3 linked regions of the Rhinolophus ferrumequinum genome follow. The protein of the gene in region 1 interacts with the protein of each later gene in a pairwise test. Links are inferred from orthologs where the notes say so. Each region holds a gene or a part of one and is shown in the gene's direction. Other genes may lie near its edges.

Region 1 (10,326 bases):
AATTCATGGGTTTACTTTTACCTATATTCTCTATCAGCCTGTTTGTTAATTTCTTTATCATATAGCTTAAGAATAGGCGTTCCCTACAATCTTCCTTCCTTACATAAAAATTCCATATAGATTTATTTTTTAAATGTATAATATTTACTATTCAGGAATTAAAAATCATAGCCTTAACAAACTTGTTTCTGTCACTTCCTGATAATTATGCAAAACACAATAGTAATTTCCAGGCTAGTAGAGTGACTCTTAAATTCTGTCATTAAGAAATTCCAAATCTCTTAATTTGCCGTTACAAAATTAAGATGCAAAATATTTACTTATTTTAATTATATTAATTTCATTTATTAAAAAGCATTTACTGAGTGTCTAATATTTATGGAGATCAGAATATTTTCTTTTTTAAGAATGAGATGGGGCCGGCCCGGTGGCTCAGGTGGTTAGAGCTCCATACTCCTTACTCCGAAGGCTGCCAGTTCGATTCCCACATGGGCCAGTCAGTGGGCTCTCAACCACAAGGTTGCCAGTTCAATTCCTCCAGTCCCGCAAGGGATGGATGGTGGTCAGCACCCCCTGCAACTAAGATTGAACACGGCACCTTGAGCTGAGCTGCCAGCTGAACTCCCGGATGGCTCAGTTGGTTGGAGCGAGTCCTCTCAACCACAAGGTTTCCGTTCAACTCCCGCAAGGGATGGTGGGCTATGCCCCCTGCAACTAGAAAACGGCAACTGGACCTGGAGCTGAGCTGCGCCCTCCACAACTAAGACTGAAAGGACAACTTGAAGCAGAATGGCACCCTCCACAACTAAGATTGAAAGGACAACAACTTGACTTGGAAAAAAGGCCTGGAAGTACACACTGCTCCCCAATAAAGTCCTGTTCCCTTTCCCCAATAAAATCTTTAAAAAAAAAAAAAAGAAAGAAAGACATAAACAGACTGAAAGTAAAAGGATGGAAAAAGATATTATTTCATGATAATGGAAATGAAAAAAAAAAAAAAAGAAAGAGATGGTAAAGAATCTTTCTATTTCCATTCCAGGCCATAACGAAGAAGTCTAAAGAAGGCCTGATACAGACTCTCCAGATCCTTGGAATACTCTTTTTAAAGAGTCACACCCAACATAGGGTATGTATAGAAAAGCTGTTTTATATAACCCCACAATATTCTCAAATGATTCACAAATCACTGTAACTTCAAAACACTTCCTGTCCAAAGGAACAAACAAATTAAATCTGCATACAATCTTATTCCATTTACCAAATTGAATATTTTAAAAGTTGACCTGTTAACTGAGATTGATTCGGGGCTGGCTGGCAGCCTTAATATTGTGACATCTGGACCGTAAGAATGGCTTTAGTGGAATCTGTTTAACTACATCTTCCTTAGAGAACAGTTTGAACTTCCTATGCCCTTTTGATCAAGTGTCTACATAATAAGAAGTATAAAACCAAAACTTCCTATTTATTCAGAGGCTAAAATCTTCCTACTGCTACCTAACTTGGCCAATAATATCCAAATACTTATTTCAATTTATGATTTTCACTTATAAGAAGCTGTAGCGTCTGTGTTAAAAAGATTCCAGAACAGAAGCAATCAACTGTTAAACAGGAAAACAAGTAAACCTTGGGCTATGTGGCAGAAAGGCAAAGCAACAATGCAGTGTTTTCACTGACTAGACTTTCTCTCCGCACATCAGTCCTACAAATGAAGAAGCTTGATCTTCAGGTCAAGGCACAAATACATTGGAAATATAATGTTGGCCAGCACAGAAATATTGTGTTGCCTTGTTGCAGATCTTCAGTCCACATCTGACTTTGCATGAGTTGTAGCAATAATGTGCATAGATCTAGCAGGATGATTAACTGACCAATAGAAAACATCAGGTTGAAAATTAGAACTCTGAAAAAGACCAGACCCACAGGAGCCTCCAGTTCAAGATCAACTCATCACAACCACTCTTACCCTGAAATAACTCCAGATCTTTCCCTCAGTTTAGTTAGGGATAAAGGACATCACCAAAGAAGGGTAGATGCAGAGATAAACTGTCCCCAGATCTCCAAGCTATCTAGTTAAGAACTCAAGTGGTCTATTTTGAATTCCTTTGCATCTTTTAGTGCAGCTACTCCCAATTCCCTTCTAGAGGTAGTATCAATAGAATTTGGAAAATCAAAGAAATTCAAAAAGATAAATGATTACAGTCATGGCTGCCAAATCCAAAAGTCTATTATTGCAAAGCCCTTGAATTGAGAAAGGTCTCTCCTGGAAGAGTTCATGCACAAATAAGGTTTACTACTGCAATTCGATATGAGGAGAAATAATGGTTGAAAGACCTAAATTGTTACTCTTGGAAGCAGTATATACTGGTGTCTTCTGGGCCAGCTTTAAATGTGAATACATAAGTCAATTGCCTTGGTTATAAAACTAACCAAATAAACAAGTAATCAATTGCTATTAATTCTTGTCTCCAGAATGCATCTTACCATTGCAAGATTTTTCTGTGTTATCAAAACTGGGTCTGAAGCCAGTAAGGCCAAGTGGTTTAGTCGGTCTCACAAAGAAACTGGAACTAGAGTTGTTTAAAGCTACATTCTCCCATTACTACACATAATTCAGAAGCTTAGGTGAGTTTAATGCAACCTCTAAAATATCTGACTTAACTCAGCCCACATACCTACTGGTAAAGAAGCATGGTTACATTTATTATCCCTATTGATATCTTCTACCAAAGACTGGGGGAGACAAAATTCACGTAAGTTTATACACTGCCTCTTTTACAAAAAGAAATTGAGAATAATTATCGTTATAAAAATGAAGCAAATCCAAATAAATGAATACAGAAAATAAAATGAAGGTAGAGATCCCAACTCTATGACACACAGTCCTGTTCAGTGGTTAGGACTAGGAAGGCATGCCACCTGGTGTTGTCCCCCAGAACTTGGAGGTGAGCTTTGGTGCAGCACAAATTTCCATGGATTCAACATTGGGCAAATGGCAACATTACTCAAACATCCAGGTTACCTCTCTAGAACTCTCCACAACACATTTGAAAATGGACTTCATTGTGAAGTTTTACATGACATTCTTTCATAATTCTGAAGAATCTTCCAAAATTAATCCCAGTCGTAATTTTGGAATGCAACATGAAGATCACTTTGGGAACACATTACAAAAGCTGCACGAAACACGCCATTGTGTGTGCATGCACATGCACACACATAAACATAATTTCTCTTTGGGATTATAACTCCCTAAAAAAAACTTTCAAGGCACAATACACTGCTTTATATACCACGTCTGAAAAATAATAATAATTGCACTAAGTAAAATAAATAGTAAGGAATAAATTAGAAAGAATCCAACAGATTCTTGTTTTCACGTTGTGCTTAAATTATAGGTTAAATGTTTTCCTAGCCAGCAAGCTGGAGGCTGTGGGGGAGGAGGGGAGAGCTAGATTGCATGGATTCTTTCTGGCTCATGAAAGATAAATGTAAATTCCTAGTTTCTTCCCTATTGACTCAATAAAAATATAACGTCCTTTAACCAGACGGAAGCTACTGACTTAAATTCCATTTTATGCTTTGATCCAGAACTACCTGTCTTCGCAGAGTTCCTGCAGTGCTGGGAAAATAGCATAGGCACAAGTGTCTCCAGTGGCAGCCATCGGGTGCAGGGGTTAAAAGAGAAGAAGAAAAGGCGTTTCTTTCACCTGTCCTGCCTGAGACTCGCTGACCACAGACAGGCAGCACGTTCCATACCAGCCTTGCAACAAACCTGGTTTGGCTCCCAACTCTTTCCTCTTTGTAAGAGCTGAAGTTTTTCTGAACCTAGGTACCTGATCTCGCATTCCAAACGGAATGTGTCCGAGGAAACAGTAGGGGAAGCTACCTGCTGTGGTATTTGTGTTATAAATGTCTTTTTTCATTTTGAACCAGCCGGCCAAATGCACATTTTGAAAGGCACCCTCTCCTACCGTCGTCGAGTAATAGGAAAACAGCCCTAGCCTCGCGCCGGGAGGGCGCCCCCTGGTGGTCGGACGTTTCGTAAACGCCGCGACGCCTGCGTTCACCCAGAGGCTCAAAGGACTCCGGCGTCGGGCTAGCGGCCGGGAACCCCGGAGGCCGAGTCGACATCACCCGGGAAGCGGCGGAGACGACCGACGTAGCCTGGTCCACCCTCACCTGGAGTGGGGGTACATAGGCCAGCGCCCGGAAATAACGCATGCCACTTCCCCTGCTGTGTCTAAGTTCCAAACCCCGGGCGAGGGGGGTGAGCCCTGGAGAAACTTGGAGAAGGCAAGGCGAGAGCGCCGCGCGGCAGGGTACGCACTGGGACATTCTAGAGGGAGAGCTGTGGAGAAGGCAGCGAGTGCCAGGGTAGCTGCGAACGGTGGTGGACTGGAGCTGGACCAGAGGAATCAAGCACCACGTTTTCCTAGCACTGTTTCAAGAACTCTAACCTCGCTCGGGGGCAAGATTGCAGGTGCTATTCGGAAGTATTAACCGTACTTCCCTGTAAAGTAAAAACATTCTGTAAATCATTTGAATCCAGTAATAGGAGTGTGGCTGCGGGGGGTGTTAATTTCTCACTGGTGCTCCCACGTACAAGCACGTATCTTGGTAAATGAACGGCAGTTAAGAGCAGTGCGTATGTATGCATTTCTAGCGTTAATTTCTATTTTTTAAGCACGTAGGAAAACACGGTCCACCTTCAAAATGGACAATAGGATCTTGTTGAGAAATGTTCTAGATGACAAGGAGAGTAGGAAATGAAGGATGACTCTTCTGGGTAAGTGGAGGAGGAAATCTGCAGTGGAACAGTGAGACCCCCTCCCATTTCAGAAGCCGGTAATGTCGCCCTTAGTAATCGTGTATACGTGTATTACTGAATTAACTAATCTTAAGGCTTAGATTGTAGAATTTCCTTCAGTGTTGTGCCAAAGAAAACAGTAAGAAAGATCCAAAAACTCCCCTTTTAAAAATAAAACCTAGTATTAAACCGAAATCTACAAATCAATAAAATCAAAAGCAAATCACGGCCAGAGCAGAAGGTACTTGAAATCCGAATCTGCATTCCGTTCCCCTTGTACAAGGCTCTGAGGTGGGGGAGGCGGTTTGTGCTGGTGCCTGGTGTATAATCGGGTTAATCCAGTAGACAAAGAATAAACCAATAGCCCTCCCACCTCACTTCCCGCTCCCCTCCCCCTCCCCCCTTTTCTCTCTTCGTCGCCCCCTGGGGTAGGGGTCAGAAATAGGGAGAGGTGGGCTTGAAATGGGTTCCGAATAAAGTCTCAAAACCTGCAACTTGTTTTAAATGCTAACACTCCATGGCCCGGATTAGTTTTAAATGTTCTTTCCCGTTTCCTAGTGGCGAGGAGAAAGTTCCTCATGGCTCGTCCTCCAGGGCTCTGGGGAAACCTTAAGGTCAGTGTTTCCTTGAAACTAGATAAACTGACCCCGCCGTGCCCAGTCCGGCCCCGCAGGCGCCCCGCGTGACGGCGCCCGGGCGGCAGGACCGGCCTGGGGACGCGCGGGGCGGCGCGGTTGCCCTTTTGAATGCCTCCTGCGGCTCAGAGCGCTGGCGGGCGCTGGAGTGTGAGTGAATGTAGCCCCGCGGAGCCAATGAGCTGGGACCGGATGCGATATATCCTCTGGGACAACAACTGCTCTGTTCCGCCTCGGATCCACATGACGCCATTTACTGCTGCCGCGGCCGCCGCAGAGCTCCCTGCCTCCTCCGGAAAGGCGAGGGCGCAGGCCAACGGCGAGCCCCCCCGGCCGGGCCCCAGACCCTCCTTCTCCTCCTCCTCCTTCTCCTCCTCCTCCGCACCCACCGCCCCCGCCTCGGCCTCGCCGCCGCGCCTCCACAACGCCCAGTCTGCACTGCCGAGAGCTGCACGCCGCAGAGCGAGCGAAGGAGAGGGGCCGGCGGAGCGCGCAGCGCCCAGGCCCCCGCGCCCGCCCGGCCCGGCCCGCGGCCCCGCGCCCTCGCGCCGCCTCCGCTACGACGCGGTGGTGGCTGCACGACTTGGCCATCTGGCCTTAGGGTCTCTGTAAGGCCGTTTTCTTTTCTCATTCGCTCATCTGCCAGGAAAAGAGACTCGCCGTTGGCGCTTCGGCCTCCAGTTCATTGAGAAAAAAAAGGAAATACTCCGCGTGCGCTCTGGAAAGGGGGTCGCCTCCAGCCCCGAACCCCGGAGTGTTCTACGGCCGGGGATTTGGCTCCGGATTTTCCTCTCCTTTTTTTTTTTACTCCCGCCGATTGCTCCGAAGTTGGACTGGAGCAGAGTTTGGAAAGAAGGGGGGCGGGGGGAAAGTTTGCATCGGGGCTGGATTTATTTGCACATCGCAGGAAGAAGAGATCCAACGGAGAGGGGTTGGTGTAAAGCCGCGATCACGGTGAGACGCGTTCTGCTCCTCAACTCTTGGCGCTGTGGTCGGCGCTTTGTGGGCAACATGGAGTAGGTGCAGCCGGACCGGGAGTGGGGTCTCTCTCCTCCGGCCTCCTTTCTCTAACCCCGCAGTTTCCCGGCAGGGGCTGCATTGCGTGCGCGTTGTAGTGTCCCCGGCCCCACGCGCCCGCACTCTGGGCAGTTGGGGTGACGGACGTCTCGCCTCGAGTCGTCTCCCGGCCCTGCATTGGCCGCGAATTCGGCGCTGAGAGCGAGAGAGGGAGGGAAAACACTTAGTGTTTTCCTGGTCGTCGTTGCAGGCGCCCGCATTTCTAACCTGTTCCTCTCCGGGAAAGGCAAGTCCTGGGAGAGGCTATCCCGGGGCAGTGGCGCCGGCGGGACCCGGGCCACGCGAGGCGCTCGCCTCACGGGGGCAGCGAGACCCCGTGGGTGAAAAAAGGACGGAGTGCCGGGTGGAGGGAGCCCCCGCCTCTGTCCGGTGTGGACAGAGGCAAGCCGGGTGCGGGTGGGAGCGTCGCCCTGCCTGGCGCCGGGTCTCTGCGGTTCGGAAGTGCAGCTCTCTCTTTTTTCCGTTCTCCGTGGTCGGCCTGGGTCATGCTTTTTTTATTTTTGGAAGATTGGGCTGACCCAACACCGGAAGAAAGTCATCAAGCGGTCGCGATCATTTTCCATTACCTGAAAATAGGTGGCAAAAGAGGCTAGTTTTTTATTTCCTTTGGCTGATCTACTTTTGTTGCTGCTGTTTTTTAATTCGGAATCTTGTGCGTCTTTTACAAAGCAGTTTCTGTGTCGGTTTGCCCCACCCTGTGCTGAAGTCCTTTTCCCCTAATCCTTACTCTAATGATACAATTCTTAATGGGGATTTCGCGGGGCGTGGGGGCAGAATGGGGGAGCACGCAGGGTGGGGGACGCTGCGAAGGAGGCCAGAAAGCGACAGAAATCACTTTTGTTGAAAAAAAAAAAAAACCTCCCAAAGATGCTCCATTCCACTGCAAGCAAATCTGCGCGGAAAGTTCCCAGTCCAGGGATCTGGTTCCTGCCTGCCAGACGTGTGCAATGGGGTGGGGCCCAGAAAAATGCTCTTTCCTTAAACAATTCTTGTTTTATTTTAAGAAATACAGGTGTGTGTATGTGTATATTTTAATACATAGGCGTGAAAACATTGCAGGCAGTGTCTCTTTGGTCAGTGCACAGTGGAGTCGCCCAGTGTGCGTGGGTGCCTCGGTGTCCCGGGTCTGTGTCCGGCTTTCGTCTTGGCCTCGGGGCTGGAAACCTGTGCCTGATGTTCGAGATCCTTCTCGGGAACGCCCTGTGGTGGGCTACGTGACCTCAGCCTGAGAATAGAGTGGGAGCTCCGTTTTAGAGATGGGAGGCGGTTATCTGGAGCGGGGTAGATTTTAGCTGGAAAAGGAGGGGAGGGGGAAGTGCTCGAGCGTTTCACAGCACGTTCCCTTCCGAGGTGCCCGCGCCCCCCTCCTGTCTGTCGGTCTTGGAATTGTGCGCAGGGGGTCCAGCCTGGCCTCTAGGTTGCAGCAGTCCACCCGGAATAAAGTCCCTCGGGGCCCCGACTGTGTCCCACCTGCTGGAGACGGTGTTGAGGCGCAGATAGAGTCGATAAACGGAGTGAAAGCAAAGAGCATCGTTGTCTTGTCTGCCTTTCTGTTGCAAGTGAGATCCGGTTTCCAGCTCTGCCTTGTTCCGAATTGGGAGGCGTGTGTCACCTGCTTGTGTCCCTTTTCTAAAAAGTGGAGGTTGGATAAAGGTCCAGGTTTCGCCGTTTTTCTTCATTGTAGACTTAGTGGTAAAGGGGATGATAGTTTTGAAATTTATAAACGGATTGTCGTTTACACGATTACTTGTCAGAATGATAGATTTGAGATTTGGCACTTGAATTTTTAAAACCCTTCCTGTTATCAGCAGCCGGTTTATGTTCTCAACTATTAAGTTTTTGGAGATGGGCAAACAACTTAAGATTTTGACATAATTTACTTCTAAAACAGAACAGTCTTTCAACAATAGAATTGAAGTTCTAGACAGTCAAGCTGTAAAATATTATATATTTGATTCTAAAGTTGAGAAGTTGAAAATAAGCTCCTGTTTTGCTTGTTGTGTAGTTTGCGTTATTGTATTTCTGGCACCTGACAAGATTTGAATCAATTCGCTTTTTAATTCTATACCTTTGCCACTATACAGTTAAAGGTAATGCATGATTGTTGTAAAATTTATAAATATTCCTTGGTGGGGAAATACTTACTTTTTACATGTTATTCATCCTATGGGATTTTTATAAAGTTACAGAATATTAGATAAATCATAGTTCAAGATATTTGATGTAAAATCAGACTTAAAGTTGGAATTTAGAAATTCCAACTGTATTCATTGACATTTAAGACAAATGGCCATAATCTTAAACCTGTTTCAAATTTGGAAAAGGTGTTCAACTTTTGAAAATGTCGGTAGCAATGTTATGTTCTAACATTACTTTCTTGCCATTTTTACATTGAACCTGACCCTTGGAAATTTTGTTTATTTGCATAAGGAATTGATACTTATGTAATTGAAACAAAGACTAGCTTTGTGTCACTACACATCACAGGATTAAAGAATTGTCAATACCCAGCCATAATTTTACAGGCATTGATCATATGGCTATTCTCATAAACTCCACAACCACTCCATTTCAAATCCTCTTTCTCTAGGGGAAGTGGGAAGTGAAGAGTTAACTCAGGTGGGTGGAGAGTGGGGAAGTATCCTGGAGTGTAAACCTACTCTTTCCTCTTGCTTTCCACAGGAATTCAGATGTGTTCTAAGCCTGCTGGAGTGACCACACTTTCAAGACCTGATGGAGGCCAGAGCTCAGAGTGGCAGTGGGTCGCAGCCCTTGCTGCAGGCACCCCGTGACAATGGCAGGCAGCGTGGGGAGCCTGACCCCAGAGACACCCTCACCCAGCAGGTACACGTGTTGTCCCTGGATCAGATCAGAGCCATCCGAAACACCAATGAGTACACAGAGGGGCCTACTGTGGTCCCGAGACCTGGGCTCAAGCCTGCTCCTCGCCCCTCCTCTCAGCACAAACACGAGAGACTCCATGGTCTGCCCGAGCACCGCCAGCCTCCCAGGCTCCAGCACTCGCAGGTCCATTCTTCTTCAAGAGTCCCTCTGTCCAGGTCCATCAGCACAGTCAGCTCTGGGTCTCGGAGCAGTACGAGGACAAGTACCAGCAGCAGTTCCTCTGAACAGAGACTGTTGGGACCATCTTTCTCCTCTGGGCCGGTTACTAATGGGATAATCCGGGTGCAGCCCAAATCCGAGCTCAAACCAGGTGAGCTTAAGCCCCTGAGCAAGGAAGATTTGGGCCTGCATGCCTACAGGTGTGAGGACTGTGGCAAATGCAAGTGTAAGGAGTGTACCTACCCAAGGCCTCTGCCATCAGACTGGATCTGCGACAAGCAGTGCCTTTGCTCAGCCCAGAACGTGATTGACTATGGGACTTGTGTGTGCTGTGTGAAAGGTCTCTTCTATCACTGTTCTAATGATGACGAGGACAACTGTGCTGACAACCCGTGTTCTTGCAGCCAGTCTCACTGTTGTACACGTTGGTCGGCCATGGGCGTCATGTCCCTTTTTTTGCCTTGTTTATGGTGTTACCTTCCAGCCAAGGGTTGCCTTAAATTGTGCCAGGGGTGTTATGACCGGGTGAACAGGCCTGGATGCCGTTGTAAAAACTCAAACACAGTTTGCTGCAAAGTTCCCACTGTCCCACCCAGGAACTTTGAAAAACCAACATAGCATCATTAATCAGGAATATTACAATAATAAGGATTGTTCCTTTTTTTTCTTTTTAACACACATATGCAACCAACTAAACAGTTATAATCTTGGCACTGTTAATAGAGGGTTGGGATATTCTTTGCT
Region 2 (9,930 bases), on another chromosome or scaffold:
TTTGTTTCCTGTAACTGTTGGACTTCGAAGTATCTGCTCAGTGATTTTTCCATACCTGACATGAAGTTGGTGCTCAGTAATGTGGAGTGTATGAACGCACAGGTGCAAACCCCTCCTGTGGAGGGGACCACAGCGCTGGAGACACTGCAGGTGTGACGGGCAGGAGTGTCAGGGACGGAGGACAGGATGAGTGCGCCCCCTCCCCGCCCCCAGTGCAGAGGCAGCTGGGGGGTTGTGGACGCCCCGGGCGGCTGGTCGGTCTGGCGATGGTGGGCCGAGAAGCTGACCCTCTCCCCTTCCCTGTGCTGCTTCCTTCCCAGGATCTGCGGAGGAGCCAGCTCACCGAGTGCCGCAGCCCCCGCCAGAGCCACCGGCGGGGCCTCCCACCCCTGCCCCCCGCCCTCACGAGCGCCCCTCCTCGCCTATCCCCCTCCTGCCCCCACCTAAGAAACGCCGGAAAACCGTGTCCTTCTGTGCCGTGGAGGAGGCACCAGCCCCAGAGCCTTCCCCGGCGGCCCCCCTGCAGGTCCGGTCTCCTGGCCCCAGCTCCCGCAAAGTCCCCCGCGGCGTGGAGCGGACCATTCGCAATTTGCCCCTGGACCATGCATCTCTGGTCAAGAGTTGGCCCGAGGAGGTGTCCCGAGGAGGTCGGAGCCGGGCTGCCGGCCGAGGACGCTCCACTGAGGAAGAAGAGGCCGAGTCGGGGACAGAGGTGGACCTGGCGGTGCTGGCCGACCTGGCTCTGACCCCCGCCCGGCGCAGGCTGGCCGCCCTGCCTGCTGGCGACGACTCGGAGGCCACGGAGACGTCGGACGAGGCCGACCGCCTGGGCCCGCTGCTCAGCCACGTCCTGCTGGAGCACAACTACGCTCTGGCCGTCAAGCCGCCACCGTCCACGCCGGCGCCGCGGCCCCCGGAGCCTGCGCCTGCCCCCGCCGCCCTGTTCAGCTCCCCGGCGGACGAGGTCCTGGAGGCCCCGGAGGTGGTGGTGACCGAGGCAGAGGAGCCGAAGCCGCCGCAGCGCGAGCAGGGGCCGGGCGCGGAGGAGGAGGGCTCCGAGTCGTCCGAGAGCAGCAGCAGCAGCGGCAGCAGCAGCAGCAGCGACGGCGCCATCCGGCGGCGCAGCCTCCGCTCGCACACGCGCCGCCGCCGCCCGGCCCCGCCCCCGGCCCCGCCCTCCGCCTTCGAGGCTCGCAGCGAGTTTGAGCAGATGACCATCCTGTATGACATTTGGAACTCGGGCCTGGACCTGGAGGACATGGGCTACCTGCGGCTCACCTATGAGCAGCTGCTGCAGCAGACGAGCGGGGCGGACTGGCTCAACGACACCCACTGGGTCCACCACACCAATATCCTGAGTCCAGGCCCCGAGTGGGGTGGGGCGGCCTTCCCGAGGCCACGCGGGAGTGTCCCCCTCCCTGTCCACTTTTCTGCCATCTTCCGGCCTCCTGGCTTTCTCCTCTGCGTGGTGGTTCTCCTCTGGCCACCAAGCCACCCTTCTCTCTGCCCCCTGCCTCTCTTCCGCCTCCCAAAGTTTTTCTGGCAGAAAGGTGCTCTAAGACTCATTTCTCCTCATCCTTCTGTCCTCCTCACGCCACACGCTCAGGCCCTCCAGCGAAGGTCAGCCTGGGGCTGGGCCTAGGGGGACGGGAGTGGGGTCGTAGGGATCTGGGCGGCAGGAACCCGCTCTCTTCCTTAACGCGCCCTGCACTCACCAACCTGAGCGCTCCCAGACGCCGGCGGCGGCCCCAGGACGGGCCCCGGGAGCACCAGACGGGCTCGGCCCGCAGCGAAGGCTACTACCCCATCAGCAAGAAGGAAAAGGACCGGTACCTGGACGTGTGCCCCGTCTCAGCCCGGCAGCTGGAAGGGGCGGACACTCAGGTGAGGCTCTGCCCTGGCACAGGCCCCGCAGGCATGCGCCCCTGTCCCGGGGTCTGTCGTCATCTGCTCCCTCGGTGTCCTGCTTCTCACAGGGGACTAACCGGGTGCTCTCCGAGCGCCGGTCTGAGCAGCGGCGGCTGCTGAGTGCCATCGGCACTTCTGCCATCGTGGACAGCGATCTGCTGAAGCTGAACCAGCTCAAGGTGCGCCCGGAGCTGGGGAGGGGCAGCGTCCCTGTGGAGTCCCCTAGGGGTGGGGGTGGGCCCAGAAGCCAGAAGGCGCTCCTGGCCTGGAGGGCTGCAGGGAAAGCCAGGAGGCCGCATGAGGGAGGCCTCCAGCAGCCTGCCTTCTGCCTGTAGTTCCGGAAGAAGAAGCTCCGATTCGGCCGGAGCCGGATCCACGAGTGGGGCCTGTTTGCCATGGAGCCCATTGCAGCAGATGAGATGGTCATCGAGTATGTGGGTCAGAACATCCGCCAGGTGAGGCCCCATGCCCGGCCCAGGTCTGATGGCAGCGTGGGATGCCGACCTGAGGCCCGCCTACCTCTGCACAGAGCCCCACAGACCTTCCAAGAGTTAGCCAGTGCAGCCTGCCTCCTTTTTGCCTTTGTTCTCCTCCTTTCTTTCCTTCTCCTCCTCCCTCCTTCTCTCACCCCCACCCTCTCCCTTCCCGCTCCCTCCCTATGGGTAATGGGTCCTAGTAAAGTAGTAAACTAGATGTAATGACCCAGCAAGAAACAAGACTAATATTGTATCTGCCTTTAAGGACCTCAGTTCAGTGGGGAAGGCAGGTAAACAGGCAACGCCAGTAAAGAATGGCAGTTGTTTAATGCAGAAGGGAAGTCCAGAGAGGCAAGGGCAGTTTGAGCAGTGCTGTGTGTACCAGGAGCTGGAGGAGGAGGAGCTCCAGCCTCAGGTGGGGGAGGGGGGCAGCATGTACGCGGGCCTGCAGGCAGAGAGTCCGGAGGGTACCGAGGCGAGGTGGGAAACTGCAGGCCATTGGCTGCCGTGTACAACTGGGGCGGCCAGTGGCCGCCAGACTGCCCAGAGCTTACGAGCCACGTCAGGTTCGGACTGATGGTGAGAACAGTGCAGAGCATTAAACGTGAAGAGGGGACTCCGGGGGTCATCAGCTCCCTCGGGTGAAGAGAGAACTAGACTGAGACTAGTGGGGGGTGGGGGGCTGTCGTAGAGACCAGACAAAGGCGGGGCACCTGCACCCGGCAGTGGCCGCCAAAGGAGCTGGCAGGACCAGGCCAGGCCACAAGTTCGCTCTGGAGGATGAGGGCAGGGCTGGAGCCGTGCCAGAGTCAGGAATGAGGAGGACTCGCAGATGTGCAGTCAAGATGGGCTCCAGTCAGAACGCTTGAGGTTCCAGTGCCGGGGGGCCTCTAGAGGGTGACACCCAGCAGGCCCTCAGGTGGACTGGGGCTGGGGCTGGACGATTGGGGGAGCCCCCAGCACTTAGCTGGCAGTTGAAGCCCCGAGCGAGAGTCCCCCTGCGGGGAGAGTGCAGGGGGCTGTGCCCCACTTTCTGGGGAAGAGTTAGTTATTCCTTGTCACGTAAGAATGTTACAGGCCAGTGGGTCCTGTGAGGAGGCGAGTCGGGTTTGGTCCATGAAACGGCCACTGTCATCTCGGGCACTGCCGCAGCCCCACGGCACACTGGGGGCTCCACTGGGGGCCAGTGGCTGCTTCTGCCCGGTGACCAGTGTGGACTCCCCCGCCCGGGGTCCTCCGAGTGACTTAAATAGCAGCCGAAGGGACAGTGGGGTGGCTGTAGGAGGGACGCAACGTTGGGGTGTCCACGCCTGGGCTGAGTGGGAGCCAGAGGAGACCTGCAGTGGCCCCAGGGGGTCATGGAGATTATCCAGACTCCCATCACAGGGCTGGGGGACCCGCCAGTCTGGCAGGAAGCTGGGGGGCGGCTCCCTGACTTGGCACCCCCCCTACCAGATGGTGGCTGACATGCGGGAGAAGCGCTACGCGCAGGAGGGCATTGGCAGCAGCTACCTGTTCCGGGTGGACCACGACACCATCATCGATGCCACCAAGTGTGGCAACCTGGCGAGGTTCATCAATCACTGCTGCACGGTGTGTGGGGGGCGGGGCCAGCGGGCGGGGCGGGGCCATGGGGGCGGGGCCGGGGCCGCGGGCGGGGCGCGGCTCACTCCGCCCCCCCCACCCCGCAGCCCAACTGCTATGCCAAGGTGATCACCATCGAGGCCCAGAAGAAGATCGTGATTTACTCCAAGCAGCCCATCGGCGTGGATGAGGAGATCACCTACGATTACAAGTTCCCGCTGGAGGACAACAAGATCCCGTGTCTGTGCGGCACCGAGAGCTGCCGCGGTTCCCTCAACTGAGGCGGGCCAACTGGCGCCCACACCCCTATTTATTCCCCTTGGTGCCCTGAGCTCCCAGCCCCCCAGCCTTAGTGGGCTCAAGAGGGCCCACATGCCCCCAACTCTGAATATGGAGCGGGGAGCCCTGAGCCTTGCAAGGGAGCCTCAGCCCCTTGAGGCAACTTGTGCCTCCCCTGTCACTCCTCACCCACCCCCTAATTTTTTTTCTTTGCGGAGAAGAAGCTGTAAATGTTTTGTAGCTGCCAGCAGCTGTTTCCTGTGGAAACCTGGGGTGCCAGCCTGTACAGATCCTGTCCTTGGGGGATGCACACCCCCCTCGCTTTGTGTTAATGGGGCTTCCCCTTCGTGCCCTGCGTGCACCCCTCCCCAGTTCAGGGGTCTCGAGGGGCAGTGGCCATGTTCTCCCCCTGGGGGGGGCCTGCGCCCCCCAGTCCTGGGGACTCCGTGCCTGGAACCCTGCCTCATCGTCTGTTCCTGCCAGGCCCCGTGGGTCACCCTCCCACCCTGGTGTCTGGAGGCTCGCGCAGCCAGGCCGGGCGGTGGAGGGGGCAGGCCCTTTCTGTTGGGCTGGATTGTACATATGTTAATAGCACAAACCCAATGCCACATTTTTATAATTGTGATTAAACTTTATTGTACAAAAGTGCTTGTTTGGTATATTTGGGGAAGAGTAGGGTGGGATCGGGGTTGAGGACAGAGGGTGGGACAAGTGAAGGGGGGAACTGGGTGGCCTGGAGTTGGCGTGAATAGAGAGGCTTCGGGCCAGAGCCCAGACCTGCAGACTCAGCCACCATTGCTCTGAGCCACCTGATCGGCTGGAACAGCCATCTAGAAATCCCCCACTGAGGCCAGCCAGAGCTGGCCAAGGTCAGGCCTCCCTCCCCTTCACAGGACCACAGCTGCGGCTGAGCTGGCCCCTGGGAAATCCAGCAAGCCGGGAGGGCTGACGTCATGCAGTAAGAGTGAGGTCACCCTGCCTGCTCCGTTCTGAGGCCGGAAACCCCGCAGCGCCCACCCAGCAGGTTTTGGCTTCCCCACCGCCCTTTTCCCAAGTTCTTTGCTGGAACCAGATGCCAGAAAAAGCACAGAGTGGCCGCCAGGGGGCGACCGGTAGCAAGAGTGGGGAACGAACGGGTGGAGGTTGGGCTGGGCTGTTCCTGGAATGGGGAGGAGGTAGGAGAAGCAAGCGGAAGGAGAGGACGGTGTGTTGCTGGCCGGCTGGCCCAGGACACGAGAGAAGATAGCCCCTCCGGCGGCCAGTCTGGGCACCCTGGGACCGACGCTGCAGGTAGGCAGAGGTGATACCAGGGGTCCCTTCCCCCTGTCCTGGCCCTGCCCACATTTCTCCGCCTTCCCTTCCCAACTCCCCTCCTCCCGCCCTGTTTTTTGTCCCAGAACCTCCCCCTCTACCTCAAACCCTGCATGCCAAGCCCTCACCTTTCTTATCTCAGTAACTGCCGTTGGCCGGGTCAGAGGGCAGGTAGCCTGGCTGCTGCATCCACTAGGACCAGGCCTGGTCTGTCCATTTGGCCGGAGGCCCCTTTAAGGAGTAACAGGTGGGCTGCTGGTGCTGGAGCAGGTGGTGGCTGGTGGTGACAAGCCACCCAGGTGAGCCAGGTTGTCTTTCCCCAGCAGGACATGGCCGACACTGCACAAGCCCAGGAGCTGGTGTACCTGGTCACAGGTGGCTGTGGCTTCCTGGGGGAGCATGTAGTTCGCATGCTCCTACAGCGGGAACCCCGGCTGCATGAGCTGCGGGTCTTTGACCTGCACCTGGGGCCCTGGCTGGAGGAGCTGCAGACAGGTGACCGTGGTAGGCAGGGAGGGGGGAGGATGTGGGCTCCCTTCACTGGCGGAAAAGATGCTGCCTGTTCATGTTCCTCAGTGCACGTGGGTGGAGTGAGTCACACTGGGAATGTCTGCCTCCCAAGGGACTAGGCTGAACCAGCAGCTGGCGGTGGCCCCAGCTCTGACGGCCCCTGTCCCCTCCCAGGGCCCGTGCAGGTGACTGCCATCCAGGGGGATGTGACCCAGGCCCACGAGGTGGCAGCGGCTGTGGCTGGAGCCCACGTGGTCATCCACACAGCTGGGTTGGTGGACGTGTTTGGGAGGGCCAGTTCCGAGACCATTCATGAGGTGAACGTGCAGGGTGAGGGACTCTCCACCTGCTCTGAAAAAGCACCTAACACTTCCTGGCGCACACACAGCCTGATCTGGCCTGTCTGTGTCCCTCTCCCCCCTTTGACCTTGACCTCTGATTCTCCTGTAACACTCTGTCTGTCCTGTGTGTACTTCCGCCCCTGTCACGGCAGGCCGGCCCTCTCAGGCCTGCTGCGGTTTTCCCTGGACCTGGGGAAGGAAGCCACGTGCCCTCATCCAGATTTGGGATGGGGGAGGGGAGGATGCAGAGGGAGGAGGCTTCAGTGTGGACACATACCCCGCACCTGCAGGCACACAGAACGTGATCGACGCTTGTGTGCAGACTGGAACCCAGTTCCTGGTCTACACGAGCAGCATGGAAGTGGTGGGGCCCAACATCAAAGGTCACCCCTTCTACAGGTGAGCTGACGTCCCCCCGGTTCTTTAAGAGCCCCACCTCCCCTCAGCATTAAGTCTTCCGTCTCCCCCACAGAGGCGATGAGGACACCCCATATGAAGCAGTACACAAACACCCCTATCCTCGCAGCAAGGCCCTGGCTGAGCAGCTAGTCCTGGAAGCCAATGGAAGGAAGGTGAGGCTGGATGGAGCCGACGCGATGCAGAGCCACGGCCAGCGGGCTTCTTTGCCTCCTGCCCTGGGCGCCTCCCTCCCACCTCCAGCTGGAGGAGGCTGGGGCAGAGGGTGGGCCACGGGGTCCCAAGCTAAGCAGTGCCTACCTTTGGTCCCCAGGTCCGTGGAGGGAGGCCCCTGGTGACTTGTGCCCTGCGTCCCACCGGCATCTACGGTGAAGGTCACCAGATCATGAGGGACATCTTCTACCAGGGCCAGCGCCTGGGAGGCCGGCTCTTCCGGGCCATCCCAGCCTCTGTGGAGCACGGCCGGGTCTACGTAGGTGAGGCCTGGGCAGGACCCGCTTGTTCTGGGGGGTGGGCTGCCCTGGAGCCTGGCTAGAAAAAGATGGTCTATGCACAGGCCAGGGTCGACTGTCTGTAGGCATTGTCGGCACGGGCCGCAGAGGGAACAGCATCCAAGCACGTTGGGAAAGGCAGACACACAAGTCACGGGCTGAGGAGAGGACTACCGTTATGGCAGCAGCGTGTCCCTGGGAGGAGCAGGGCCCCAACAGGAGGTGGCTTGTACCCGGGCTGGCCAGGAAAGAGCTGAATTGCTTGGTGGAAAGGACGCTCAGGGGCGTGTCCACCCCATCCCCACCGACAGGCAACGTGGCCTGGATGCACGTGCTGGTGGCCCGGGAGCTGCAGCAGCGAGGGGCACTCATGGGTGGCCAGGCGTACTTCTGCTACGACAGCTCGCCCTACAAGAGCTACGAGGATTTCAACATGGAGATCCTGGGGCCCTGCGGGCTGCGGCTGGTGGGCACCCGCCCGCTGCTGCCCTACTGGCTGCTTATGTTCCTGGCTGTGCTCAACGCCCTGCTGCAGTGGCTGCTGCGGCCGCTCCTGCTCTACGCGCCCCTGCTCAACCCCTACACGCTGGCGATGGCCAACACCACCTTCACAGTGAGCACCAACAAGGCTCAGCGCCATTTTGGCTACGAGCCCCTGTTCTCCTGGGAAGACAGTCGGACCCGCACCATCGGCTGGGTGCGGGCCATGGACGGTTCAGCCCCGTGACAAGGGCACTGGGGCCTGGGGCCCGGCCTGGCACGTCCATCCAGCCCTCAAACCCTGGGTGGGGAGGGAAACCTGCATTCTAGAGCTGGGGGGAAGGTCCGGGGCCAGATGGCCGTCCTAGAGCTCTCCACGCGTTAAATCGACCCGTGAGCCTTGAGCCCGTGTCCTGATGCCTCCAAGTTCCAGGGCACGCACGTCGTCACTCTCCACCCAGGCCTGACAGCGGGTGGGCGAGGGTCTGAGTTTCCCGATGTTCTCAACTGCCCCATCCCACACTGGCTTTTCAGTCAGGAAGTGGGTAGGTTTCCACAAGCCTCGCGCTGGCCTTCTGACATCCAGACGGAGCCTCGGGCCTGGATTTAGAGCGAAGAGGCTTTCTTGTTCCTCCTACCTACCACCTTTGTCCCTCCTGGGGGCGAGGGGTGGGGTGGGCGTCATATTCCCATTATTGGAAAACCTTGACCATCCTTAGATGTTTCTCTTCTCATTATCTTGAATGAAACCTGAGGAAACCTGTGTCTTCACTTCTTCCCACCCCTGGAAGCCCCGTTCAGTTTCTGCAATATTGTGAGAGCCCTGCCTGAGGATGCCCCAGTAATTCTGTACCTGCCCAAGCCCTGGATTAAAATACCTTACGAAGCCTGCGTCCAGCCGCCTGCCCAGTCACCCAGCCCACCTACCCCCATGTGTCTCCCTGACCCCACGGCGCCCATCCCCTGTGGGGACAGAAGGAAGTCAGCACGCAGCATGCCCGCTGTTGGATTGGTTGCTATTTCTCCCGTCCCACGGGGCCCGACCCGGCCCAGGGTGGGGGTGGGGGGCTCTGGGGACAGGACATGCAGGGCTGGGGAGAGAGGGCAGAATTTTCCTGTGTTTTATCCATTTGCAACTTGGTCACCAATAGAGAGAAATGGGTCTCTGAGGGCTAACAGGAGAGGGTGGCCTGGCTCTGGGCCCCCAGCCAGGCCCCGAGAGTCCTGTCCCCTCCGGGGAGGAAAAGAGCTCTAGAAACCAATGGAGAAACAGAAGGGGTAGGGGCTCATGTCAGCAAACACGGCTACATCACGTGACACGCCAGCGACACGGAAACACACGCCAACGCACACGGCTGCACAGCGGGCAGGGGCAGGTGGGGGAGAAGGGAGCCGGGGGCCACCCATCTTGTCCTTTGCGGGGCAGGCGGGGGGGGCAGGGTAAATGCATAGAACACATCATGTACACACGCTCAAGGCGTGGCAAGAGTGTGCGTCAACCCACAGGCACATGGGATGGACACGCGCAGTGTGCTTCGTGAGAGGCAGGGCTAGGGAGAAGGGGGAAGGGAAGCAACGAGCCCTGGCCAGGCCCGGGACCACCCACGGGGCACACGTGGTTGTAGGTGTGGGAAGGGTGGGCAGCACACACTCCTCTGAGAACATGCAAAAGACACTAGCCCCCAGACAACACTCCAGGACACACACAGATACAGCAGCCACCAAGCAAACAACGAGCACGGGACTTGTGGAAATTGGGGCATAGCAGACCCTCGGGGTCCCTCCAGTCCAACTGAGGCCCAGAGATGGGCAGCTAGAGAACCACTACCACTCGAGGAGGCAGTGGCCTCACTCCAGCCATGGCCCCACCCTTCTCCTTGCAGCCCCTAGGCTGTGAGAATTCCAGAAACACCTGGGCTGAAAGAGGGTCCTGGCTGGGCAGCAAGAGGAAATGGGGCGGCTCGGCCGGTCTCAAAGAAGCCTGAGAAGGAGCAGGAGGGCTGCAGTCAGACATGGGCAAACTTGCCGCCCTGCAGAAGGGCATTCTGGGAGTGGCGGGCAGCCAGAGGCCCTCCCCAGGCCAGGCCACCTTGGGTTACACGTGTGGGCCACACACAGGTGGGGCTCCAACAG
Region 3 (10,266 bases), on another chromosome or scaffold:
TCACATAATGTCTGCGTCCCCAAAATGTCCATGGCCCCAGGGAGGGGACACTTGCCCACAGTATTTGTAGCTTCCCGCAAGCACAAGCCTTTCCTGGCTCGCACAGGCATGACCTAATTAAGGATAAAAGTATCCGGGCCCTGGGGTGCCCAGTCCCCCCCCCCCCACATAGCAAAGGGAGGAGTGGCTGGCGTGCACTGAAGCTACACTGGGGCTCTGTTTCCTCCAAGAGAATCCCTCCTATCACAGGCCAAGAGGCTGGAGCCTCAGGAAGTCCTTTCCAGAAACTCTAAGAGGGACGGAGGGAGCAAGAGGATGGTCGAGCGTTCTAACTAAATCCCAGTCTGCTTCCCAGGTCTCAGGCATGATTCTCTAAGAACCTGCGTCCTCAACGTGCTAAATCCAGAGGTTCCAACAGGCACAGAAACATAGGTACTTAGAGCATCTGCTTTTATTTTCTTTCTGTTTACTCATTGTAATATTTGAAATTCAAAAGGGAATTATCAAGCCATTTAAAACCAGCTTCGTTTTCGTGCTCTTTCACGTGATCGTAGGAAAATCTAAGCAAGATATTTATGCGCTAAAGACATTTATTTCATTTCCATCACAAGAATAACTTTGAAAAATCTCTTAGAAAACTAATACATTCAGTAGCATTTTTTACTTTGATTCTTGCGGACACTGGATGGTTCCCATAGCATGTGGCACACTACACAGCTTCACTTTATAACAAGAATAAAAATAAATGATAAAGCACTTCCTGAAACATTGGAGCCTGGTAAGGAGGTCCCTTCCCAACAGGCCGTCATTGGCAGGTTTCACAACATCAAGAAATGTTGCTGAGTCATCTTTTAGAAGAGTCTTCTCTTCCCCTCCCTCTACTTTACTCACCATTTCTGGAGCCGCCATCATTAAGAGCAGAAATAATTTTCTTTTTCATGATAAAAGCAAGCGTGTTGGTAAGCAGGCTGCCAACAGGTGAGTCCAATCGGGAAGTATTTCCACCAAGTCACTCAGCCTTGTCGACTCAATCATCGCAGCAAATGGCATTATCGCGGGCGTCTGTGTAACTCAACCCCCGTGGGGCTATCAGATAGCCCCTGGCGGTAGGACTGGGGGGCTGGGGAGGGGAAAATGTGACTTCCCTTTAATTAGTAAGGAAGGTAAGCAAACCTTTGCAGAAACTTCACATAACAGAGTCTTTGAAACACGGGCACTCCTTTTATTTAAAAGAACAGGTAGGTCCTGCCCAGTGCAAAGCAAGCACCCCAAGCGGGCAGGGAAAACGCTTTGGTGGGAGTTTCTGTCCCCCCATGTGACTAAGCCCAAGTCTAGACTTGCAGCTGCTCTGAAGACAAAAAACAGGGAACCTGATGTGTTCTCACAGAGACACTGCACGCTCCATTTTGCAGAGACCTTTTTGTCCCAAGAGGTTTCTGCACATAATACAGCTTAAAGGTGTTTTATCACGAGAGAACATAGCCCTGCTGCTGTGGGCTGGGGACTAAGAACCCCTTTGGAAGGCTGGTGGATACAAATCATGCATTCATTTATTCAGCAAATATTTATGGGCCATCGGCCACGAGCCAGGCATCGAGACACAGAGCATATGGCAGAGGGGTCAAAGCGTTCACCTGTGGTCTCAGGTGATGACAAATGCTAGGATGGGATGAGGCTGGGAGAGACTGAGTGTGACGGGACAGGGTAGTGGGAAAGGCCTCTAGGGAGAAATGCTGTTTCAGGGGAGACCTCGATAATGGGATGAAGTGTCTTGTGAGCTAGGAAGAGAGGTTGTTCCAAGGACCGGACCATCAATGCCAAAGACCCAAGAAGATGAGCTGGGGGTGTTTGAAGAACCCCAAGAAAGCCTATGGGCCTGAAGAGATCAATGGACAACTCATGGGGGCCCCAGGCCATTGCAGGGACTCCGGTTTGATTTCTGTGTGATGAAAAGCCACGGAGGAGCCGAGAAGCGCCAAGACAGGATCTGTGCCTGTGCGCTGAGTGTGCGGGGGGGGGGGGGGGGGCGTCAGGTGGATGCACTGAGAGCCCAGATGGGCTACTGAAAACCTCCGCCACCGTGAGGTTACAAAAGTTAAATCGTAAGGTGCTAGTGGTACTGATGAGGAGAGGGCTGGAATTGGGGTTGTTGTGAAGGTAGCGTTGGTGGGAATTGTAGATGGCAGCAGCAGCCAAGGAGACATGCAGCCAGTCATGGTTGGCCTCAGACGTGTTTTCCCGCCTCCAGCCCCTGCTCATGCACCTACCAATCAATGGCTTCCGGACTGAACACAGAGCATCCTCCAAACTCTGCTCCTTCCTTCACATCTTTCCTAACTCCTCTCCATTCCCTGAATGAGTATTTGCCCTCAAAGACAGTGACAAGAAACTTAGAACTCAATCTTTCTTTGCTTTTTCCTGAGTGGTAGGTCCTGCTCCCACCTGGAGCACGACTTTGGAGGACAGAGTCCAGAATGTGCTCTCACGGTGCCTGGACAACGAGTGTGTGATGGGTTCCACGTACATCGATGAGCTGAGCAGAAACCCAAGTGGGTTAACAAGACTCTGTAGTCACAGGTCACATTCACAAGTGTGAACATCTGTTGACGAGTTGGCTTGCATGTCAGATGAGGTCAAAGGTGGAGCTGGTTTGCCAGGGGGTAGCAAGGAGAGGGTCCATGAGGGTTGCTAAACTTCCACCACCATAAAGCAGTCTCGCAGAAAGTTTACCTACAAATCAATTAAGTTCAAAATTAAATCATTAAGGAAGCAGAAATCGGCATACCTAGGGTTGCATCTGGTATTCATCAAGCTGGTGTCTTAAGTAGTCTTGGTTTGGAGGTGTGAGAAGGGACATCCTATCCGAGGACTCCCCAGAAGCTGTGAGGCTTTCATAGCCCTTTGCACACAGCTTGAGTTCTGGGCGAGGTCTCAGTCGCCACCTTGACCCCTTCCTTTAGCAGGGAAGAGAGGCTTTGGGGGTCAGTCACAGGCGAAATTGTCCATTAGGAAGCTTTAATATTTCCTCTGTTGGCCTTGGAAGGTAACTTTTCAAGCTAAGAAAAGGGATTGAGATAAATGGGCATTTCCTCACTTACACAATTAAGGGTTTTTTTAGAAAAAGAAATTTACATTTTAACATGTTATAAGCACAATTGCTCAAAAAGTGGTTTATTATTTAGAAGAGAAAAAATATATGTGAGTAGAGGCTATATTTCAGACCCCAGATCTACTCTTTTCCCTCTGGGTAACAAGCTTTGTCTATTTTCAGACTTTCGAATTTAAGATATATAATTTATTTGATAATGAAATTATTTCATCCTTTGAATCCCTCAAAGAAAAAAGATATTATTTTAAAATATAAACTTTCATTTAAAGGTGAAATATTGACGCCTTTTCCTCTGAGATGGAGAACAATACAAGTAGATGCATTATATAGATATATACCATTTCTAGTCAACAACTAGAGTCCAAGCCAGTTCAATAAAATCAAAAAAAAAGAAAGAAGAAAAAAATAAAAGAATAAAAAGGGAACAGAATAAAAGAAGAAGAAAAAAGAAATGAAAGAGGCGGGGAAGAAACTTTAAAAGAAAAGAATATGCACTGGTAAGAAATGAATAAAACTATCATTAATCATAGACAAAACTGTTTTGGGACAAAGATAAATGATTAGAACTGATAAGTAAGTCAAGCAAGACTTCTGGATATAAGTTCAATGTGAAATCAATAGTATTTTGATTACCAGCAAAAAGAATACAAACATGAAATTTTTTAAATATATAATTTACAGTGGCATCAAAAATGATCCAACACCTAAAAATAATCTAATAAATACTGCAAGGCTTCCACATAGAAAATTATGTAACAGAATTGGAAGAAAATAAAGAAGACCTGGCAATTCCATGCCAGGAATTTGACAACTTAGGTAAAACGGTCAAATTATTTGAAAAACAACGTAATATAACAGGTATAAGAAGAATACTCCTATATATGTTAAATAAATTAAATTCACAATTTGAAACTTTTGAACAAAGAAAATTCTAGGTCCAGATGATTTTACTAGTAAATATTTTCAAACATTTAAGAAAGAAATTATACCAATCTCACAAAAACCCAGAGAATCAGGAAAGAGGAAATACATCCCAGCTCATTCATGTGGCCAGAATAATGCTGACATTTAAGGTGACCAACTGTCCTTGTTTGCCTGAGACTGAGAGAGCTGCCAGGATGGGAACTTTCAGTGCTAACACCAGGAAAGCTGCAGGAAAATCAGAAAAAGTTGATCGCTCTACTGACACCAAAACCCCACAGGGAAATTACGAGAAAGGAAAACAACAGGCCAAGCTAATTTACAAACGTTGATGCAAAAATTCTAAACAAAATATGAGCAAATTGAATCCAGCAATACATAAAAAGGATAACATATTCTGACTAAGGAGGTTTTATGTTAGGAAAACAAGGTTGATTTGACATTCAAAAGTCCCTTGGTGTACATTACCTCATTCACTGAGTAATGGAGGAAAACAATATGATCATCTCAATAGATGCTAGAAAAGCATTTGATAAAACGCAACATCCACTAATCTTTGAAAACACCAGTAAACTAGGAGTGAAAAGGAATTTTCTTAGTCTGAATAAAGGTAGCTACCAAAAAGCCATTCTATTCCACATGGCACTGAAGGCCTTTGCCAGAACAATATGGCAAGAAGAGGAAATAAAGTGTAGAAATATTAGAAAGGAAGAGGAAAATTGTTATGATTTGATTACATAATTGGGCACATGGAAAAATCCAAAGACTCTACAAAATATTAGAATTAATAAGTGATCTGAGCCAGATTATTGGATATGTTGTCAATACATAAAAATTAATTGTACTTATGTTTGCTTCGGCAGCACATATACTAAAATTGGAATGATTCGGAGAAGATTAGCAGGACCTAGAGGACGGTGTCTCAGGCTTGACGCTGTTCGTGTGTTGGTCTGGATACTTTGCTTTCGTGGGCAGAGCAGCACCCCTGGCCTCGACTGCTAGATGCCAGTAACAAACACCCCCTCCTCCAGCTGACACAACCGAGAATGCCTCCAGACATTGCCAATGGTCCCTGGGGCCAGGGGCCAGAATTCCCCCAGCTGAGGACCACAGTTTTATTGCTAGTCCTGGAGGAGTCACATGGGTGTATTCACTTTATGAAAATTCGTGGATCTGTACACATACAATACAGCAACTGTTCTGAGTGTGTGTTAAACTTTACAAGGTTTTAAAATCGAAAAAGAAGTTGATGAATAACTAAAAGAACCAAAACTTTTAGCGTAAACATGGAAAATAGATACAGTGTAGCGTGATGTCTTGTTTGCAGATAAGGAAATTAAGATCCAGGGTCCCACGGGGTTCTGTGGCCAGTGGGACCCAGTGGAGAACCCTCGCCCCTCCACTCCCTCCCTCCCAGGCAGACTTGCTCCCAAATACAGAGCAAAGGTTGATCCCACACAGGGACTCGGTTGGACCTCTGACACCCAACCCCCACTGTGAAAACAGGGTTGGTAGACGCTACACCCCAGCACCCTGTAAAGAGAATTCTGAAAACCAATATCTCATGCAAACAGGATATTAACTTTTGTCAGAAAGATCAAAAAAGACTTGAGGTTTTTCTTCGCAGCCTCAGCCTCTCTTGCCTCTCCTTCTCTGGCTTTATCTACTCATTTCAGTCTGCAGGCAGGAAGAGATGGCAGCCGGGGAGACACAGGTCTACGCCAAGGTCAACAGCAAGCTCAAGGGCCGCAGCACCACCTCGCTCCTGGACCCCCTCCTGGGGATGGGCTTCCCGGCACACACCGCGTGAGTACTGCCCGGCGGGCCTGCCCCAGACCCCCAGCCTGACCCTTCTGAGGTCCCAGCCGCAAAACACTGGCTGCTCAGGGCGCTTACTTCCTGTCAAGGGGTTCTGCTTGCAGGGTGAGATACAGTCTCAAAATAAGGCCCTTTCCTGCTTTTCGTGAATGACATGACCTTTGCCTTTTAAAGAAAAACTCTGGCAGCTGGCTGATGGGGGGAGGACCCTGAAATTTGTGAAAATTGAAAGCCATGTGTCACTGTGGTGCCCCTATTTCTCGGGGTTTGGAGGAGCTCAGGGCCTGTGTACCCTCTTTGTGGGCAGCTCGGGGACTCTGAGATGATATTTTAAACTAATTTGAAAGGCCCCGAAACCCATGAGTCTCTAGTGCTGGGACCTGTTGAGAGGAGAATGTGTTTCTCAATGGAGCAGGGGACCATTCATCCTTAGGGAAAACCTCTTGAATGTCTGATAATGAAACAAAATGGTTCAGGAACTACCCAACCCATGTTACCCAAGGTAAACGACCACACGTAGGAAATTTTCACCTTAGGAGTGACCCCTGTCAGAGAGGGAAGAAGGACCCCAAAGCAATGAACTATGGTACTGACATTGGGTTACAGCTTCCACGGAAACGAGACTCTTAGCTCTGGGCCTTTCACGTGCTCATTCACATGAAAAACGCGTCAGAAGTCCCCTTGAGTAACTCTGGATTTGGGAGGGGGGCAAACTTTCCTTAAACATTATCACAAAACCCTGACCCCAGTGGATGAAATCATGTTGAAGTTGGCCAGAGCCCCTTCTTCTCCAAACCAGATCAGAACTTTGTCCTCACCTCATGCTCATAATAAACCGGGGGCCTGGGAAATGGGGAACGGGAACCAGCGTGAGCAGAGTGACTGCTGTGTGCGGATTCCGCCCTGGGCACCTGCCATCAGGTACAGACGGGGACACTGAGGCCAGAGGGGCAGCTGGTAGTAGGGCAGGGCCGGAAGTCCACGTTTTCTCACACTACTGCCGCTGTGGTGTGGACACATACTCAGAATCCCTTCACATTCAAACATTAGCCGTATGGGGGCAGGAAACATGTTTTAAGCTTCTCATTAGGCTGGGGTGTCCCAGGTAAGGCTCCAGGCCGAGGCTTCTCCAGAGAGCACATCCTGTCGGTGTTCACAGGGTGGCAGCTTTGGGCAGCAACCCCTGGCTTTCTCATCACCTCCAGCTATTTCCGGCTGAACTCCTGAATGACTTCCCTTAGCCATATTCCATTCTGTTCAATTTTGTGTAGTTCAGTTCAACTCAATATATATATATATGTCCAGTTACAACGCTTAGGCCTCAGGGGCCCAGAGGCTGAGAGGGGAGGCTAATGGACACAAGTCCATTGAGATGAGAAGAGTGGTGACCACATGTGCAGTGGGGAAACACAGGAGGGGCTGCAGGTCCACCCTAGTGGGTGGTCTGGGGGGGCTTCCTGGAAGAGGGGCATTTGATCTGAGTGTGGAAGAACCATGGGCATGTTGGCGAGGGCCATATTTGGTGGGGAGGCAGGTGTGTCAATCGGGGCCCTGGATGGCCCTTCACAGCTGACTGGAGGATCCGGGAGTGGGTCCACCTGGCTGTGGAGGAGGGCAGGGGAGACGGGATTGCAGGTGTGGGTGAGCCTGAGAGCATGGGCCCTTGGGTTGTGCCAAGGACTGGAGGTGGGAGCCACCAAAGGAAAATCAGCAGGGGGATATGAGCAGATCTGTATTTTCAAAAACCACAATGAGGCCACGCGGAGGATGGAGGCCTGAGTGCTGTACCCAGCTGTGAAGTCTCGCGGTCCAGCCCCTCCTGGGGCCCTCCAGAGGTCCGGTGGGTGGCAGGGCTATCCCTGCCCGTCCTTTCTTTCCCAGCCAATGGAAGGCAGGGTTCTCAACGCTCCTTCGTTCTGTTTTCCTTTAGGCTGAAGGCACTGGCAGCCACGGGAAGGAAGACGGCAGAGGAGGCAGCAGAGTGGTGAGTGGGGCTGTCTTTGCAGAGCCGGGGTGTGTGGACGGACCTGCTCCTGCCTGAGGACTCAGAGAGCACACTGGGACGTACCCGGTACAGTCTGGGTGGGGCGGAGGCAGGGCCACCTCCATGCCTGCCTCCCGGCACCAGGGAAAGGAAGAAAGAGCCCAGTTTCAAATAGAAAACAAAAGAGAAAGACCATCAAACAAGGCTTTCTTCCCTTAAAAATCTGATTTAATCCAAATGTGACTGCAAAGGAGACAATTCATGTGATTCGTTGAATAAATAGGGAAGAGCCCTTTTTGCTGATATAAAACAGAGGTTGCCACTCCCTCGGGCTGCCTCTGACAGGGAGAGAATTTCCTGGGGTCATGAATGCCCCCTAAGGCATGGGTACCGTGCAGCTTAAGGGGCGCCCGGTGACTGGGGCGTAGGCTGAGGAGCTGGGTTCCCGGTGGCTCAGCCACTCACGCTCTGTGACTTGGCTCACCACCCACGGCGCCCGGCCTCGGTTGTCTGCTCTGGGAATCCCGAGGGGGCACCCCGTTCTCAGACTGGGCCGCCGGAATGTGCCATGAGGCCATCTTCTTCCCCTCGGCGGGAAGTCCCCTCTGGCTCTGCCCCAGGACAGTCACAGTGAGAATCAAACAATAAAAACCAGCTCCTGTAAGGCGGCGGAGCTGTCTGCAGAGCAGGCCGGCAGACACTGACTGCACGTGCACCTTTCAGTGTCCAGCACCCTTCCCCCTCCAGGATCTCTAGGCCAAGGGCAGAGTGTGCAGCCCCTCCACGGGTCAGAGGGAAATACCCAGGGCCCCCTGGGCTCGGTGAGCTCTGAAGTCGGTGCCAAGTTTGAGTTAGAAACCAGTCCCACTGCTGTGACGGCCCTGGTTGGTCCCTGCTGGTTGTGACTCAGCCAGTAAGACTACAAGTCCCACCAAGGAGCGGGGACACAGTAGGGTCCCCGAGTCTCAGCCAAGAGTGGGCCCAACCTCACTAGTAATCAGGGAGGGGCAAATCAAGATGCCATTCGAAACCACGGGCACCTTCAAATGCTGGTGAAGGGGACGGAAGGGGTGATCGCTTACTTTCCTGGTTGCAATCTGGGGTGTCTAGTCAACACCGAGCATGTGTGTAGCCGCCTGCCCAAGCAGCTCCAAGTCTACAGACATTCTCTGGAGAATGGGCATAAGAAAATGTACAAAAATCTTAATCACGGTATTAAAAAAGGAAACCATTTAAATGTGCACCAATGGAATGAGCGAATGGAGGATTACACACATGTGCCTGACAGGATGTTTTACAGCTCAGCTAGATGCGTGTGTTGTCCACATGGGCAAATTGGGAAGACATATTGTTGAGTAAAACATACAATTACTTGCAGAATAATTTAGACGATGGCTTATAATTTATATAAAACACACAAATGCTACCTATGGATTTATGACTGAAATGTCTAGAAGAAAACCTGCCCCCCCAAGAGGGAAGGGAGCCAGGATAAAGGGGGGACAGCTGGTATTTTTTGTTATTATCAGGCAGAATGTGTTTGCACGTAAGTAATGTGTTCCTGCGTGGTTACATACTGCTTTCTAAACCTAAGGTTATCTCCCAAGCACTTCCCTGAGTCATTAGAAATTCTTTGAAACCATAATTTCTAAGGAATAGATAGGTAAATTTGCTACCGTTCAGCTCATCTTTCTTTCCTATTATAAATAACCCTACAATAAATATTTTATACATGCAGTTTTATTTATGCTTTTTGCTCTTTCCTTTCATTAAATTTGCGGAAGTAGAATTCCTGGAAATTCCGTTCAAATGGAATGTGAATTTTAAGGCTCTTGACACGTACTGCAAATTGCTTTATGTAAAGATTGCACAGACTTAGCCTTAAGTTTTGCTCCACCTTTGACACCACTGAGCGTGACTTTTACCCTTTGAAATCACATCATTCATTTGACAGATGAGAATTAAAACAGTTGTTTTAATTCTCATTTTTATTATCAGTAAGAATGAACTTGAATATTGGCTTATTGGTCATTTTCCCATGTATCTAAAACAACTTCCTGAATTGAAAGAAAATATGAGTTGACTAAATTTTGTCTCCTTCTTTGTGGATTTGATTTTTACGTTTAATTTGAAGTTTGAGATAAAATTAAAATGTAAATTGTTTTTCCACAAAATTTTTTTAACACTAAGAAGATGGCTAGACCAACAAAGTCATTGGAAGAGCTTTTCTCTCGTTTTCTTGGTCTATGCTGTGCGAATCAGACTAACCTGGGTCTCAGACCTGAGTGGACACCCACCTGCTCTGTGGCCACACAAGGCCACATGCTTGGTGCGTGTCACCCATGCAGTGGCTGGAGGACGTTATGTGACGTGTACATGTCACATGCTCAGCACGGCCTGTTGTTCTGAGTTGCCGCCATTGAGTCTTTTTGTC

The links. The genes of interacting proteins can lie anywhere in the genome.
Region 2: the proteins of SPRY2 (region 1) and HSD3B7 interact in binary tests that used the Homo sapiens proteins (3 or more experiments, as listed by UniProt). The two-hybrid records come from large-scale screens. The link is inferred for Rhinolophus ferrumequinum from reciprocal best matches to the Homo sapiens genes SPRY2 and HSD3B7.
Region 3: the proteins of SPRY2 (region 1) and UBASH3A interact in binary tests that used the Homo sapiens proteins (3 or more experiments, as listed by UniProt). The two-hybrid records come from large-scale screens. The link is inferred for Rhinolophus ferrumequinum from reciprocal best matches to the Homo sapiens genes SPRY2 and UBASH3A.

What each region holds. Positions count from the first base shown.
Region 1 is NC_046287.1:30,473,142-30,483,467, reverse strand, and holds the start of SPRY2 (protein sprouty homolog 2), read left to right. Parts: upstream 1-5,877; 5' UTR 5,878-6,396; intron 6,397-7,363; exon of another isoform or gene 7,364-8,172; intron 8,173-9,201; 5' UTR 9,202-9,252; coding exon 9,253-10,200; 3' UTR 10,201-10,326.
Region 2 is NW_022680357.1:357,519-367,448, reverse strand, and holds HSD3B7 (3 beta-hydroxysteroid dehydrogenase type 7), read left to right. Parts: upstream 1-5,387; 5' UTR 5,388-5,537; intron 5,538-5,700; 5' UTR 5,701-5,805; intron 5,806-5,881; 5' UTR 5,882-5,887; coding exon 5,888-6,053; intron 6,054-6,242; coding exon 6,243-6,398; intron 6,399-6,699; coding exon 6,700-6,808; intron 6,809-6,881; coding exon 6,882-6,981; intron 6,982-7,139; coding exon 7,140-7,302; intron 7,303-7,628; coding exon 7,629-8,044; 3' UTR 8,045-8,688; downstream 8,689-9,930. Other genes in the region: histone-lysine N-methyltransferase SETD1A, read left to right, coding at 321-1,349, 1,712-1,884, 1,977-2,087, 2,244-2,363, 3,840-3,977, 4,076-4,249. UniProt on the Homo sapiens protein: The 3-beta-HSD enzymatic system plays a crucial role in the biosynthesis of all classes of hormonal steroids. HSD VII is active against four 7-alpha-hydroxylated sterols. Does not metabolize several different C(19/21) steroids as substrates.
Region 3 is NC_046285.1:106,351,918-106,362,183, forward strand, and holds the start of UBASH3A (ubiquitin-associated and SH3 domain-containing protein A), read left to right. Parts: upstream 1-5,723; coding exon 5,724-5,836; intron 5,837-7,778; coding exon 7,779-7,832; intron 7,833-10,266. Other genes in the region: TMPRSS3 (transmembrane protease serine 3), read right to left, coding at 892-912. UniProt on the Homo sapiens protein: Interferes with CBL-mediated down-regulation and degradation of receptor-type tyrosine kinases. Promotes accumulation of activated target receptors, such as T-cell receptors, EGFR and PDGFRB, on the cell surface.